Linked DNA regions of Drosophila melanogaster. The protein of the gene in region 2 purifies or fractionates together with the protein of the main gene of each other region. This does not show direct contact. Each region holds a gene or a part of one and is shown on either strand. Other genes may lie near its edges. The genes, in order: eIF4B, Gip and CG6726.

Evidence for each region.
Region 1: the proteins of Gip (region 2) and eIF4B purify together in Drosophila melanogaster (affinity purification with mass spectrometry, with the first as the bait; one large-scale study listed by BioGRID). This does not show direct contact.
Region 3: the proteins of Gip (region 2) and CG6726 purify together in Drosophila melanogaster (affinity purification with mass spectrometry, with the first as the bait; one large-scale study listed by BioGRID). This does not show direct contact.

The regions. Positions count from the first base shown.
Region 1 is NT_037436.4:27,854,776-27,860,107, forward strand, and holds the start of eIF4B (eukaryotic translation initiation factor 4B), read right to left. Parts: upstream 3,497-5,332; 5' UTR 3,429-3,496; coding exon 3,416-3,428; intron 3,161-3,415; coding exon 2,009-3,160; coding exon of another isoform or gene 2,001-2,008; exon of another isoform or gene 1,933-2,000; coding exon of another isoform or gene 1,928-1,932; exon of another isoform or gene 1,591-1,927; intron 1-1,590.
Region 2 is NC_004354.4:10,327,566-10,331,459, forward strand, and holds Gip (GIP-like), read right to left. Parts: upstream 2,308-3,894; 5' UTR 2,198-2,307; coding exon 1,403-2,197; 3' UTR 1,312-1,402; downstream 1-1,311. Other genes in the region: CG2909 (uncharacterized protein), read left to right, coding at 1-507, 847-1,035; CG15306 (uncharacterized protein), read right to left, coding at 2,821-3,894. UniProt on the Drosophila melanogaster protein: Catalyzes the reversible isomerization between hydroxypyruvate and 2-hydroxy-3-oxopropanoate (also termed tartronate semialdehyde).
Region 3 is NT_033777.3:23,089,675-23,096,327, reverse strand, and holds CG6726 (uncharacterized protein), read right to left. Parts: upstream 4,605-6,653; 5' UTR 4,572-4,604; intron 4,552-4,571; exon of another isoform or gene 4,466-4,551; 5' UTR 4,458-4,465; coding exon 4,367-4,457; intron 4,273-4,366; coding exon 3,781-4,272; intron 3,728-3,780; coding exon 3,310-3,727; intron 3,247-3,309; coding exon 3,042-3,246; 3' UTR 2,895-3,041; exon of another isoform or gene 2,869-2,894; intron 2,831-2,868; exon of another isoform or gene 2,828-2,830; 3' UTR 2,650-2,827; coding exon of another isoform or gene 2,553-2,649; intron 2,499-2,552; coding exon of another isoform or gene 2,007-2,498; intron 1,949-2,006; coding exon of another isoform or gene 1,534-1,948; intron 1,479-1,533; coding exon of another isoform or gene 1,274-1,478; 3' UTR 1,144-1,273; downstream 1-1,143. Other genes in the region: CG17109 (uncharacterized protein), read right to left, coding at 1-445, 505-595; CG17110 (uncharacterized protein), read right to left, coding at 1,274-1,478, 1,534-1,948, 2,007-2,498, 2,553-2,649.

The DNA.
Region 1 (5,332 bases), on a different chromosome or scaffold from region 2:
GGCTCCAGATTTACATCTTGCAAAATTTAAAAGTTATCACTTGCTTTTATGACCGAGACTTCTCCCAGCGCAACACATTAGGCCACTCCATGACATAGACTGGATTAGCTACGAAGCACTATTTGGGAAGTGTACTTGTATATTTTTGGTCATTGTATTGTTAAAACGTCCTCTAATGCATATGGGAGCATCACCTTCTTAAATGTTTCGACGTATAGATAACGATCAGTGATGGTTTTGATCCTATAAGTCACCTAAAATACTAACTTGAGTCACTGCCGTCAAAACAAAAATATTTTCGCCTTAACCGACCCCAAGATTTTACTCCTCTGCACCAATTCAAGCGATCTCACGCAAACCTAAATCATTAGGCTTCATGTTTTTTTCTGAGTAATGCCGCTTTTTTTTTTTGGCCTCTTGAAATGAGGATCTGGATCGAGTCGTCTTCTAATTACTAATAAACTTACATTTTTCGAAGAAACAGACCCGAAAGTCGGAATCCTAGATTGTCCTCCTAAGCAACGATCTCACCTTTTGGTCAATAACTGCTAAGTTACTAAAGTGAAAAAATTTAATTAATTAAGTAAAGGAATGGAGAAAATAATGAGAAATAACTTTTTGCTTGACCGGCTTTAGTATTATTTAGACCGCACCCGTGCATACATATTGTATATACAGGGTGCGGCAGCAAAACTTCCTTTTTTAAATGCGCGCCATTCAGTTAGTTGATGTCATAGCGGAGCACTAATGGCCCCGTTCAAGAGGGGCTACTGCAAAGCTTTGTCCCGACACGGTTCAGTCGCCATCTTGCGTTGGAATAGTGAGGAGCGCGCCTTTGCCGTTGTGGCCTACTTTTCAAGCGGATGTTCGGTTATTAAAACACAGCGTGCATTTCGGTATCGCTTTAATTTAGCACTGTTGGCTCCTGTCCCTGAACGCAAATCAATTGTTACATGGGTCACTACATTCAGGCAAACTGCAAGCGCGACAAAACGAAGAACTGGAGTCCCTCGACCCGTTAGATCACCTGAGAACATTGAAGCAGTGAGAGCGCCAATATTGCGATCTCCACAGCGTTCTGCGCTCAAACACGCGTCTGACCTTTGACTATGACTATCCGATCGTTCTGGGAGAAGAATTCTTTATGATGACCTTAAATTCCATCGGTATGAGATGGCGATAGTGCAGGAATTTCACAACGTGTTTATGTGAACCGTCCAAGAACGCTAAAAGAGTTGAAAACCATCATCATCATAACACCTGCTATGCTAACAAGAGTCACGACAAACGCCAGAAATCGGTTTACGCAATGTATGGAGAATGGGGGACGTCACCTATCAGATTTCATCTTCAAAAAAATATAAATAAAAACTTTGGAACTACATTTACATTTACCTAAATTATAAAAATAAATAATTATTTTCCGATGCCCACAATAGTTTATATTGAGTTCTGAAAGAAGGAAATTATGCTGCCTGTAGCATATCAAAAATTTAATATGGAGAACACACATTATATACAATACATATGTATCTGAAGTGCACATTACTAATATTAAGTATTATATATGAAAATACCAACTATTTGAATAATTTTGTGCAACTCGAATTTTATTAATAGAATAATACAAGTTAATTATGATTTTTTTTTAAATAAAATATTTCCAGCTTGAAAATCGTGTTCTCGCATAAGTAAGCCCGCATACAGTATTTTTTGTGGTTTGGGTTTTAAGCAATGGTATAATTTACAGACATCGCATTTTTTGTCGGCACCCAAAAAGTAGGTGCACGGTGAAAACCAAATATATAGGAGATACGTTATTGATTATTTGCCAAATTACGGCTTCTCCCACATTTTCGAAAAATGTTAATTTGTTGTATTTTATGTGGCGTTGTATATTTCCTCCTCCTCTGATTATTTATTATTATTATGCTTTTTGATTAGATTAAAAACTCAAGTCAGATAAAATTCACTTCTACATTCAGACAAATATTTAGATTTTAGTTACCTGGACACTTATTAATTTTGTCGCTTTCCTTGTAGTCCTGATTCGTGCGCCAACTAACTGTTGCACTTAGACTTTCATTATCATTTTTATCCACCTGGAGCTCGGCAAGTTTTTCATTTAAACCCTGTTCTCTGCGCCCCTTATCCTGTTTTCGAGCGAGAGCCAATCTTTGCTCAATCTCCAACTCCCTTGCTGCTGTATCTACCGGTTTTGCAGACCCAAACACGTTTAATGATGAAGTTCCGCCTTGTTTATCCAAATTAAATTCATCAACGTCACATTTTTCGAATTCAATTGTCTTTACATCTGGCAATGGTAAAGTTCTTGGTTTTAAATTCAATTTTGGCCTTTCTTCTTCAACTTTGGATGTCTCTTCTCGGGAATATCTGTCTGCTATTTTGACTCGACCTTCGCGATATTTTTCAGATACTTGTTCAACTTCTCTGCGTGTAGGGGAAGTATCAATAGATTGCGGCCTTGCGCTCGTGCGCCAAGATCCAGGAGTGTTCACATCATCTCTATCTGGTAAAGATTTTCTCTCTCTATTAAAGCTTCTTTCAAAATTGGAAGAATAACCAAAGTTACTGCCGTTGTTTTGGCTGTCTCGCCTCCAATTTCCGGAATCCCTATTATCTCCATTATTTCCAAAACCATCAAACCGCCTATTACTTTTTTGGCGGCTTTGCTGGTCGTTTTCATTCGATAGCTCAATGCGAATGCGGCGACCTTTAATAGAGGGGTCTGGCAAGCTAAGTACATGAATTAAATCCTCTCGATTTTCCAACTCCACATAGCCAAAGCCTCTGGAACGACCATTTTCGCCATCTTCTCTTGGTAGTCTCAGAGATATTAAATTAATACCTTCAAAGAACTCGTAGAGGTCATCTTCATTTGCGTCAAATGGTAAATTATTGATATAAGCAATAAATGGGGCTTTATGAGGAATAGAATTATCGTCGAATATCCGATTTGCCCTCGGAGCGGTTGGAAGCTGATAAACCAACGGCAATGTACCACTTCCATCATCGCTATCATCGCCATCTAAATTTCGTATTTTTTTTGAGACTTGGGTTGTTCCGACTGGAGCGTCAGAATTACATAGAAATGATTGCAAGGAGATAACTGTTCCTTTATTCTTTTTGCCCTTCTTTCCTGAAAAATAAAATAAAATATTAAATTGAAATACATACTTAAGTAGAAATGATGACCAACCAATATATACAATAAAATATTATGTTAAGCAAGATTACACATATGCATGCAGGTGGACATGTGTTCCTTTTACATTACGTGTCAAGAAAAAATCCATGCGGAACCACACAATCTCACAATTAAATTACTACCTTTTTACAATTAATAAAAAAAATTTAAACTTTAAACTTAGATATTATAAAAAAAATTTCTAACCTGCGGACGCCATTTCAACCAATGTTTCCAATCTTTAATTTTGATAATTTACCGAATTCACAAAAATAGAGAAATCAATTTTCCTATATCGTTATCGATATTTATTTCGGGCTTAACTGCACTATTTTGACAACTGGTAATACCCAAAACCCAAAGAGCACATCCTAAAGAAACAGTTGGAAATTTTGACATATGTGAAAATCCGATACTTAGAATAAAATTGAATATTCCAGTAAAGTTTGATGACTTTTCTGTTTTTATTTTAAGCTCAAATATTAAGACACAATTTACTATGTATGTATATGTTTTAATCAAAGTTACTTGTCGCTCTCTTTCAAATTCGTTCATTTTTGTATGCTTTTTATGGCTAACATTGACTATGTACCGTAGTACGGAAATGTTTTCTAAATATGAATAGTAAAAAAATTTGTTTATTTGAACCTTAGTGTTAATATTTTTTTTCTAAATATGAAACAAATTTTAATACATACAATATAAAATAAAATTGTATCATGTAAATTCTTAGCACGATAAATTACTTAGTTTTGTTTTCAAATATAGTTAATAATAGCCTACTCGCTGCACAAGGCAGCTTTGTTGGAATGTAGGAATATAGAGTTCTTTAACAAAAAGCCAAAATTAATTTCCATGATTATGTGGAGCAATTAGTTCGTTTCAACAATTGTAGTACAGCTTACAATGATTTTCTTTTAATAGGGCCTGAGTGGTGTAAACTCCTGCATTTGACAATATATTATGAGCCTAATCATAATCTAACTTGCAGTCTAAGCTGGCGATGTTCCTTATTCCACTTTCCATTTTTTGCGACCCAGTGGAAAGTTCGGAAGAGTTTGTGAGAAATAATTGTTGTGTAGTGATATTTTATCCACATAACAAGAAAAAAGGTTGTTTCCATAACATAAACGCGTGCATGGTTTTCAATAAATTACAATGTACTATATGTATATACCCGTTACTCCTAGAGTAAAATGGTGTATTAGATTTGTTGAAAAGTAAGAAAAAACGTATCTTACGATTTCGATTTGCAATCGAAAAATCGGTGCTGAGGTTTTTGAAATGATAACAATTTTTCGATTTGTAAAACCGGCACTTTTGTCTGGCCGAAATGAAAAGTAAATATCTTTTTTATATCAAAAAATATAAAAATAGTTTACTCAGTAGTCTTTTGATGTTTATTCCACATCACCATAATATCATTCTCCCACTTAGTTATGTTATTAAAAATTTATTTCTGACCCCACCTCAAATTTTACAAACAAAATTTAGTAGCCTGTATATTCTTAATCAGGATCAATAGCCGAGTCGATCTGGCCATGTCCGTCTGTCTGTCTGTCCACTGTATCAACAACGGGATCTCTCAACTATAGAAGCTAAAGAGTTGAGATAAAGTATACAGGTTCCACAGACATAGAGCCCACTCTAACGCCCACTAACGTCCCAAAACTGACACGCTCTCACTTTTAAGCAATATACATATATAACAATAATATATCGAAATTCCAGAAAAATTATGACATTTCGCGTTCGCAGTCCCAGTACATAAGTAACGGGTATCTGATACTCGGAGAACTCGACTATTGAATTCTCTCTTCTTTTATATTATTAATTTAATTAATTAATTAATTAATTTATATTAATTAATTGTATTAATTATTCCCAATACAGATTTTTGTCTTTCGTCTATCATAGTATAAATAAGCAAAATAAACCAACACGGCTACTGATCAATTTATATACTTCTAGTTGAATAAAATATAAAAAGAGAATGCTTACAGAAGCATTTATGGGAATGCATCCAGAATTCCGGAATAATTCCACTTCCAATGTATTACAACAAGTTACCTTTAATGATTGCTTCTATATTGTTGATTGTAAAATGAATTCATTTCCTGAAAA
Region 2 (3,894 bases):
CGGGATCTCATCCACGGCCAGGCAGTCATTGACAATCAGCGTTTCGGACCATCGAAAAACAAGATGGACGTGTTCGACAATCTGGTGATGAAGCGGCGTTACGCCATCAGCTTCGACATGCTGCTGCTGGAGGCAGAGGCAAGGGCAAAACGCGTGAAAAAGCTGGCGTACATCCATGTGGTGGGCTTCGGCTTGGGCGTGTGGAAGGCAGCAGAACAGCAGGAGCGCATCTTCATGGAGACCTTCGAGCAGCGTATGCGCACGCTGGGCAACAGGCTCAATAACGTTGGCCTCGTGCACTTCTCCTGGTTTTCGATCACACATTGCGGCGGTCTAAGCAACGGATCGCTGATAGAGATTCCCGGGCATCCAAAGGATGGCATCAGGGTGCTCATTTCCAAGCGCAATCCAGCACGAAAATTGAGTGATCCTGAGCACGCCGGAATGCTGCTGGTAGTCTCTTACGCTTGGGATGGAAACGCCCTGCCGGGTAATGAATTCTGGATGGTAAGTACATAGATTGACAGTGCCCTCCTAGCCACAAATGTTGATATTAAGTGGTGAAACAATATATTTATATTCTGTGGTTTGGCCAACTGTGTGTTCTAGTTTTCCACTAATGCCCTTTATATTAAATAATAAGAACATTATCAATTTAATGAGGGCATGCATTATCAGCTTAGTAAGTGTTTATAATTGTGTTAAGTGCAATTATAAAGATAATTCAATTTAGTGATCATTAAACCAATGGAAAGTAACTTGACATTAAAGTAGTTGTAGTTCTTCCTTTGATCTTAACATTTTCTTCTTTCTAATTTCACATATTATAAACTTCATTCGTTTTAGAAAATGCTGCAGTCCACAGGTGACTCCTCGACGGCCTGCTCCACGTTGGTGGCCGAGCTGCACAATCCGTACATAAACACGAAATTCTGCAATGGAGGCAACCTGCACATCGCCTCACCGGAGCACGGGGTGCTCCACATAGCCGAATATGCCAAGCGGGTGATTCGGAGCGAGAGTGACGCCTTATGAGATACGTGAATCTGCCTGTTATCTAATCTTATCTAATCGTAGCTACTGTTTTATTCCACACTTGCTGTAGGTCAATTCCATGACCTTTTGACAGACGCATGACAATTCCAAAAAAAAAGGGAAAAAAAAGGATTTTATATTGTAATCGATTTTATAAAACGACCATTTTAAACCAAAACCAACCAATTGATTGAATTGAACCAACCAATTGAAGCTTTAAAAAGCCATGAAAATGCCTCGAAAACGAGAGAAATATGTAATAGAATTAAGTATTTTGGTTAAACCATCTTTATGTTTGTAAGCAGTGTAAATACATGTGTATAAATGCAGAGCAGTTCCTTATGCCAAACTATATGTGATGTGATAATTATAGCGTGTAGCCCAATTTGGAGACCCAACCCAAACCCTCGACAGTGGTCGTCTTCGGCTTGTACTCGCAACCGATCCATCCATCATAGCCGAATTCCTGGAGAGCCTTGAACACAAATCCGTAGTCCAGCTCACCGGAAACATCCGGCTCGTGGCGATGCGGCACCTGGGCGATCTGAAAGTGTCCAATCAGCGCCTTGTACTCCTCGAGCGTCTTGGAAACGTTGCCGTGCAAATGCTGCAGGTGATACAGATCGGCCAGCAATTGAATGTTGTCCGCAGCCACATCGGCCAGAATTCCAGCGGCTTTGGAGTATGAATTCATGTAGTAGCCAGGCACGGCGTACTTGTTAATTGGCTCTATCACGCCGATCATTTTACTGGCTCTAAGGCTATCGGCGGCGATCTTTAGATTGGCGGTATACGTCTTCGTGTAGTCACTCTCCTGGCCGCCCTTGAAGAGTCCAGCGGTTAGATGAATCTTGCCACAGTTAACCTGTCGGGCGAAATCAATGGTGGCATCCAATTGGCTACGGAACAGCTTTTCCGAGCCGGGCACACTGGTGGAGCCGAAACGCAGCTGATCGTCGCTCTTGTCGAAGGCCAGATTCACCAGACTGACCACCACACCCGTCTCCTTTACGGCGGACACCACGTCGCTCGTCTCGCCTTCGGGATAGGGGATCTCTACCGCACGGAATCCGTTCTGGTGGGCCAGACGAATTCGCTCCGCGATCGACGTCGCTCTTTCCGTGAACAAAAAGTTCAGATTCGCTGCAAACTTGAGTGCCATCTTCCGTTCACTAATCTCCGCCTGCGTTCACGCTTGGCAAACAACTGGGGGGGAACGATGCGATTACCCGTTTTTTATATTATATCTACCGACTTTTGATACTGCCAATGTCATATGGAGCAGGAGCTTTTCCGACCAAAGCTTTGCGTGATATATGTACATACATACGTAGGTTTTAAGTTATTTAGCTGGCATCAGAACCATTATTTAGAATTAGTATATTATTTAATTTAGTTCGTCGTTAGTTAAATAAAATACTAGTTCTAACACTCGTAGCGTTAATATTTTTAATATTATTATTATTATTTAGTATTATTATTTAATATAAAACCTGTGTGAAAAGCATTGACTCCACCTAGCGGACATTAAGGGAACCATTAAATAAGACGCATGTTTTGGGTCAACATTTTAATTTTCAATTTCCAAACCATGAAATACAAAAGCAGTGGAGAAAATGTGAATTTGGTTTAAAGAGTTCAAAACTGTTAATTTTGAAAAGCAGGCAGCCTTCGTCTTCACATCCTTACTCCTTCGAGGCTACCGTGTGCTTTGACTAGTTCTTTTGAGAGTTTTGAGTTGACAATGAGCTTGGCCAGGAATTAAAAACCGACGACGTCACGATATCAGTGGTCTCTTTGGAGCACCATGTGAATGTCCTGGCTATCCTCGTACTGGCTATCCTCGTCTTCGCTATCCTTGCCGTGGCTATCCTCGTACTGGCAACCCTGGTCACGGCTATCCTTGTACTGGCTATCCATGCCGTGGCTATCCTCGTACTGGCTACCCTGGTCACGGCAATCCTTGTACTGGCTATCCTTGCCGTGGCTATCCTCGTACTGGCTATCCTGGTCACGGCTATCCTTGTACTGGCTATCCATGCCGGGGCTATCCTCGTACTGGCTATCCTGGTCACGGCTATCCTCGTACTGGCTATCCATGCCGTGGCTATCCTCGTACTGGCTACCCTGGTCACGGCAATCCTTGTACTGGCTATCCTTGCCGTGGCTATCCTCGTACTGGCTATCCTGGTCACGGCAATCCTTGTACTGGCTATCCATGCCGGGGCTATCCTCGTACTGGCTACCCTGGTCACGGCTATCCTCGTCCTTTTTATCCGTGTGCTGGCTATCCTCGTCCTGGTTAGCTTTGCCCGTGCAAAGGCTACTGTTAATCGTCGCCTGGCAAGTCGCAACTTTACCTCGTATAGCTGTCGTCTTCACCTTCACCAAGCGAAAACGATCTTTGGTTGTCAATTTTGAGGATCCGATACCGATGTTCTGATGGTCACGAGCTACCAGTGCATCGTAGCCAGCGCATTTATCCTTAGTGTGATTGACATTGAAAAAGTGTCGGAACCACACGGCAAATTTAAAATTTTCTACCCTGTGGCCCTTGATCAAATCATTGACCTCAGCTGGTAGGCTTACATTTACCTTATTGAAGGCTTTTTGAAGTTCCTTGAAATTGTTAACGTACTCGTATTCTTGATTCGAAAAAAACTTAACTCGCTTCAAATTGATCAGTTTGGGATAAAGCATATGCATCAAATTACAATAGGCTGCACCGGTGCACAACTGTTCGATATTGATTAGGTTGCATTGGAGCGTCTCGTTGAACCAATCGAGAATATCGCCACGGGACCACTGAACCAACGAATTATGCGTGACGGTCACATTGTGGGCCCTCGAAGTAGCCAT
Region 3 (6,653 bases), on a different chromosome or scaffold from region 2:
TCACTGGTGCCGCCCTCGTCCAGACTGAAACCAACATTCATGTTGCTGTAGTATTCCGTTTTGACGAACTCCTGCATGCCCAGCTCGCCGCCGATCTCCTCATCGGGCACAAAGGTCACGAAGAAATTGCGCTTGGGCTGGACACCACTTGCCTTAAGCAGGCGGATGGCACCCAGATATCCTGTGCCCACCGACTTCATGTCCTGAGTACCGCGCGCAAAGATCCTGCCCTCCTCATCGATATCGGCAGCGAAGGGATCGTGGGTCCACTTGTCACGGAACACCGGCACCACATCCATGTGCGAGTTGAGAATGACGGAGGGCAGCTCCGGTTCGGTGCCCAACCACTTGATGATCACCACAGGCTTCTTCTCCACTGGATATATAACATCCACGGGAAGATCCAGGCTGTGAGCCTGCCTTTTCAGGAACTCCACACATTCGGCTAGAAGTTAAGATGTACATGAGTAGTGCTCTTCTGTGAATTCCTTGGGGAATCCTTACTGTAATCCACATTTGGCTGCACCGTAGCTATGCGCAAATATTCGCGGAATATTTTGATTTCCTCGTTGTCCTCCCACTTTTCGGTGCTCATTTTGTGGATATGTTTTCGCTGCCAGTCACCAAACTCGAATGTGCCGCAGTTGGCAAAAAATGAACTTATACAGAAATTTTTGTGTGTTGGGTGATTTTGGTTTTATGGCCTTGGCTTCGTATTATTATCAAATAATGAGTTCGTTATCAAACTCGGTTGTTATAGAAATGATAACAGCACATATTCTTGTACAAAATTCTACCAAAACAAATGTCTAATAGCAAACGGTAGCCAATTCGATAAAGTTCACATAACACCAATAAAACTCAACCACCGTCGTTTATGGTCTGCGAAAAAATGGGTTATTATAATTTGTATTTGGTTTGATAAGAAAATAGAATACATATTAATGTAATTATTGATAATTATGATGTATATATAAAATACAACCCCTTTACGTGAAGGTTACGTTAGTTTTTGAGAACGATATCAATAGTTGTGACGATTTATTGGATATTGAATGAGGGCAAAGTCCATGACAAAAACTCTCTTCTGAAACTCGTGTTATCAGTGTGTGATTTTCATTTGTTTAGAAACAGATATGATTTGTAGTAGTCACACCATTTAAACATTTAATTTTGGTCCTACACTCATCGAGCCAAAAACATTACTCATAAGCGATAAGACCAATTGTAGCATATTGATTTCCATTTATGAGTGGAACTTCGCTTGAACATTTTATGAATCAGCAATAGAGGGGATGAGCTTCCTGTACACCTGAATTCCGTGCAGATATGTGTCGGCCCGCAAATATTCATCATGATTGTGCAGCAGCACCGGGGTGTTGTTGATGGGTGAAAATCCCAGAGCGGGAATTCCCACTTGCCGGACGTAGAAGCTATCGGTGGCGCCGGGGAAAACTCGTGTATGGGTGATCAAACCTCTGGAAAATTTCAACAAATTATGAAGTGAAAACTACACAATCTTTGTTTACCTACAGTTCATCTAGTCCCTTTTTGAAGCCCAGCCAGTAGGGATTGGAGTCGTCTATCTTGGTCACCACCGAGGGGCACTTCAGCGTGAAATCCAGTTCCACTCCACCACCGACTTCGTTGCACCACTCGCGAATCTGATTCTCCATTGCATCGGCATTCTGGTTGATGGCTATGCGAATATCAAAAGTGGCTTCTAGTACGGGGGGAACCACATTGCTTTGGACGCCACCGTTGAGTTGGGTCAGGTTCAAAGTGGTCACATCACCGGACTGCAAGGAGGAGTCCTCGGCCAGTAGCTTGACCTGGGTTTCTCGGAACTTCATCAGCTTATCCATCACAAAGTGAAACTTTTCGCCAGCCGTGCTTTTGTGCAGCAGCGATCCATGACCTGAAGTGCCACTGAATTTAAATCGAAGTTCTGCAGGGGTATAAAATGAATCAGAATATATTGCTACTGATGCAAATGGAAGACTTACGCCACAATGTACGCTCGGCGTAAAATACAGGATAAGTGTCATCTTCACTGGCGATGCCCTCGTCCAGGCTAAAGCCCACATTCATGGCTTTGAAGTAATCACCCTTGACGAATTCAGCCATGCCCATGTGTCCGCCAGTTTCCTCGTCGGGCACAAAAGTCAAATATACGGTCCTTTTTGGCTGATAGCCACTGGCTTTGAGTGCACGGACCGCAGCCATGTACTGACATCCCACGGACTTCATGTCCTGGGCACCGCGTGCATAAATCCGGCCTTGGGCGTCTATGTGGGCACCAAACGGCTCATGGGTCCACTTTTCGGGAAACACGGGCACCACGTCCATGTGTGAGTTCAATATAATGGATTTCAGCTCGGGATGCTTGCCCAGCCACTTCATAATCACCACCGGTTTCGAAGGCACAACAGGATACACCACGTCCACGCGGAGATTAAGTTTGTTAGCCTGGCGTTTTAGGAACTCCACGCATGCAGCTGCAAGGGAAATAGGGATAACAAAATCCAAGGAGCGGAAAAACAAATCCTTACTGTAGTCCACGTCTGGATGCACCGAGGGAATGCGCAAATACTCCTGGAAAATGATTATTTCCTCGTCGTTCTTCCATTGTTCCGTGCAAGTGCACATTTTGAGTTGAATGCCCCGTGGTTCTAAAGGAACTGACTTGTAATCCACCGTGCTGTTTGGTTTGAAGTCTGAGTGTGGATTGACTTAATGGCATTATCAGTTGTTGACTTTAAGCTACTTGATTAGAAGAGCCCACAATTTGCGGATTTTCATCTTTGCGCTAAGAGCTTAATGTTATCTAGCAAAGCCATAATAGTAAACCATAAACTTATTCATTTTCATTTAAATTTCCTTTTTTTGCTCACCATTAATGGTATGGACTATGGACTGGCTTATTTATTCATACATTGTTTATTTAAATGGGTTTTTATAAGCCTGCTTGTTTAAAGTTATTACAATAAACATCGACAAGTAAGCATTAAATGCATTATTTCATAATTGAATTGAGTTCGCTAAGCATCAGCTACGGCAGGAATGAGCTTCTTGTAAACCTCAATGCCGTGCAAATAGGTATCGGCTTTCAGGAATTCATCGTGGTCGTGCAGCAGGATGGGGGTGTTGTTAATGGGCGAGAATCCTAGAGCTGGAATGCCTGCGTAGCGAATATAACGACTGTCCGTGGCGCCGGGGAAAACACGAACCCGTGTCTTGAGGCCACTGAAAGAAACAAGGAGAAAGGATATCAGAGCCATGCCTTTTGTCAGAGCTTCTCATCCTTACAGGTCATCGAGTGCTTTCTTAAAGGCCAGCCAGTAGGCATTCGACGAGTCAATCTTTGTTGGCTCCACAAAGGGGTTTTTCATCTCAAACTCCAGTTCAATGCCGCCGCCAGCCTCCTCGCACCAGTCGCGAATCTGCTTCTCAAAGGCAGGGATATCCACGGTGACGGCAATGCGGATATCAAATACAGCTTCCAGCAATGGGGGAACCACGTTGCTCTGGACTCCGCCCCTCAGTTGGGTGAGATTCACAGTGGTCACATCACCAATTTCGAGGGATGAGTCGTCAGCTAGTTTTTGCACTTGCGATTTGCGGAACTCCATCATTTTGCCTACCACATAGTTCAGCTTCTCGCCAGCAGTATTCGGGAGCAACAGTGATCCGTGACCAGCAGTTCCGCTGATCTTGAAACGAAGATCTGCAGGAAAACATGGCTAGCTTAAATTGTTTGTATGAGTCAATCCTACTCACGCCAAAGAGTCCGTTCAGCGTAGTACAGAGCGTAGGTTTCATCCGCACTAGAGATTCCCTCGTCGAAACTGAATCCCACATTGAGCTTCTTGAAGTAGTCGCTCTTTACCAGCTCCCGCATGCCCAGGTGGCCGCCAACCTCCTCGTCCGGAACATAAGTGAGATAGATCGTCCTCTTGGGTTGATAGCCACTGGCCTTGAGGGCACGCACAGCTCCCAGATATTGGGTGCCCACGCACTTCATGTCCTGCGATCCGCGCGCAAAGATGCGACCCTCTGCATCTAGATCCGCGCTGAATGGACCGTGTGTCCACTTCTCCTCAAAAACGGGCACTACATCCGTGTGCGAATTGAGAATGATGGAGGGCAGTTCCGGCTGGGAACCCTGCCATTTTAGCACCACCACGGGATTCTGCTCGTTCACCGGATAGATAACCTCCACGGGCAGGTCCAAGCTGGCAGCCTGGCGTTTCAAGAATTCCGTGCAAACGGCTATAAATAGCAGACACATTTTATGGCAAGGTCATAAAGATCAGGGTACTCTTATCGCAGCCTCATAAAGATATACATGCCCATTGGAACTCACTGTAATCCACATTTGGATGCACCGTTGGTATGCGAAGATATTCGCGAAAGATCTTAATCTCCTCGTTGTTCTCCCACTTGGCTGTACTCATTTTGCACTCTATAAAATGTAAATAATTAGCCGGCTGATAACAAATCAATTAAATTGTTTGCTGAAATCAGCTGATCGACACTTCACCACAGCGGAGAGCAGACACACAACACACCTTTCGCAACACTGGCTCGACGACGACTGTGCGATCGTGGAGAGAAGCGCGCGTTTAAATATCAGCGATAAGCGAGCGAAAGAGAGGGCATGATAATAAATCCGAGAAGGAACTAAACCTAATTTCTTATCATACGGTGCTGCCTATAAACTGTTTTATCTTACGCATTTGTTTACTTTTTAGATGGCTAATCTACTTTTCAGTACAAATGACTTGCAGTTAACAATTGCTTCCGTCATTAATAATATTCGTGTCTTCCCATTTCTATATGAGAAACTAATTTGATGAATTTAATATCCAGCACTCAAAAATTCAATTGATTACAAAAGAGACATCCCCTAATAGTAATTTCTATCTTGTACTGCATTATTTATAAATTAAACTGAATTTTGCAGCTCATAGCACAAGGAGTGGAACTCTATTTCTGTACCATCCCAATTGGTAGGGATTCCACTCCATGTATTGGTGAACATTCTTCCATCACTTTCCGGTACATATGAACCCACTTTAAGGCTCATTTACTTGGGATTCCCCCTGGCTGATGGATTTATTTGCCTTAAATGGAGGCGAAGGTGCTTCGCATTGCTTTGGGGGTAACAGGACTGCAGGATTGCTGGATTGATGGTGACCCCATTTGGCCCGCAGCCAAGATTTCCGATTACTGATGAATCGCATGCAATCGCATTCCAATTCCAGTTGATTTGTTAATCAAGATGCACTGCACACGTTCGCACCACACGCCCAGTGGGCTTCCGGGTAAACAAGTTGCCCCTCCTCGGGCCTTTCAGCCACTCGAATCCAATTCAAATTTCGCATATTAATAGTGTTCCTGCTGCACTTGCCGACTTTGCTGCACTGCGTCTGTTGTCCCAGTAGTGTGTCAAAAGTTAGTTTCGCATTTAGATTTCACGCTTGTTCCCATACAGAAAAAAAGGTGGTTGGGCCAAAAAAAATACACAAAACCAAAGCCCTCTGATTTGTGTCGCATACACACCCTGCTAGGCCAAAGTTGATATTGTTTTAGTGTGTGTACTCACAAAAAGTCATTAAAAGTTCATTAACAATGTTGCTGGGATTTTAATGGCGCACCAGCAGCAATAGCAGCAACTACAGGCTACACATGTCTGCATTTTAAATAACATCCAAGCCCCACATTCGTACAAACTCGTACTCTCCCCATTTACAGCGTCACATAAGTCAAATAAATACACAAGTTTCCTGCGCACAAACACTCGTTCAGCTGCACAATGGGCCAAAATGGCAAGTTTTTGGCATAATTCGAATGTAATGTCCCTAGAATAGAGTCTATAAGTCTGTACAGAGGCTAAAGTAGTTCATTCTTAGTCGAGTAAAACACGAATCTACTTATCTGATGCCAAATTATTCACTTTTCGCCCATGGTGGTGACTTGGGGGCGCGCCTGTTTGTTGTTTGCTGATGTTGCTGCTGAGCTGACATGTTGTCGCTGGGCAAATAAACTAAATGAAAATTTTGTATATTGTAACAATTATCCGGGCAACGCCGGAAACTGTTTGCGTTGAGCACCCAAAACCTGCAGAACTGCAGAGATGGAACCCCGAGGATATCGCCTAATCCGTTATGGGCGCATTACCTGGCCAAAAAAAGCAAAAAAAAAAAATAAAAGCGAGAGAACTGATATAATCCTCCTCTGCCATTTACCATTTACCATATCCCTCGGCCCAGAGCGTACATTTCCTTTTGTTCGAGCTTTTTTCAGAGCCCATGGCAAAGTTTCGGTAGTATGGAAATATGGAATGGGAATTGGGTTGCTGGCGGACTGACAGCTCAAGGACAATCCGGAGGGCATGCGTTTGCATCGCCTGGAGAGCTTCAATTTGTGTGTGTGTGTGTCAGGCATTAGGTGGAACGAAAAAAAGGAGCTCAGCTCTTGGCAAGCACTTTAGCAAACTGCACTCACAGTCGACATCGATATACAAAAAGTGCTGGCCAACAGTGCGTATGCGTGCTGCTTACTGCCTGCACAAGGCGAAAGCACTCGAAACGGTTTTTATTCACAACTTGTGCGAATGTCATCAAAATTGTGGACCACTCGGTCTGCAA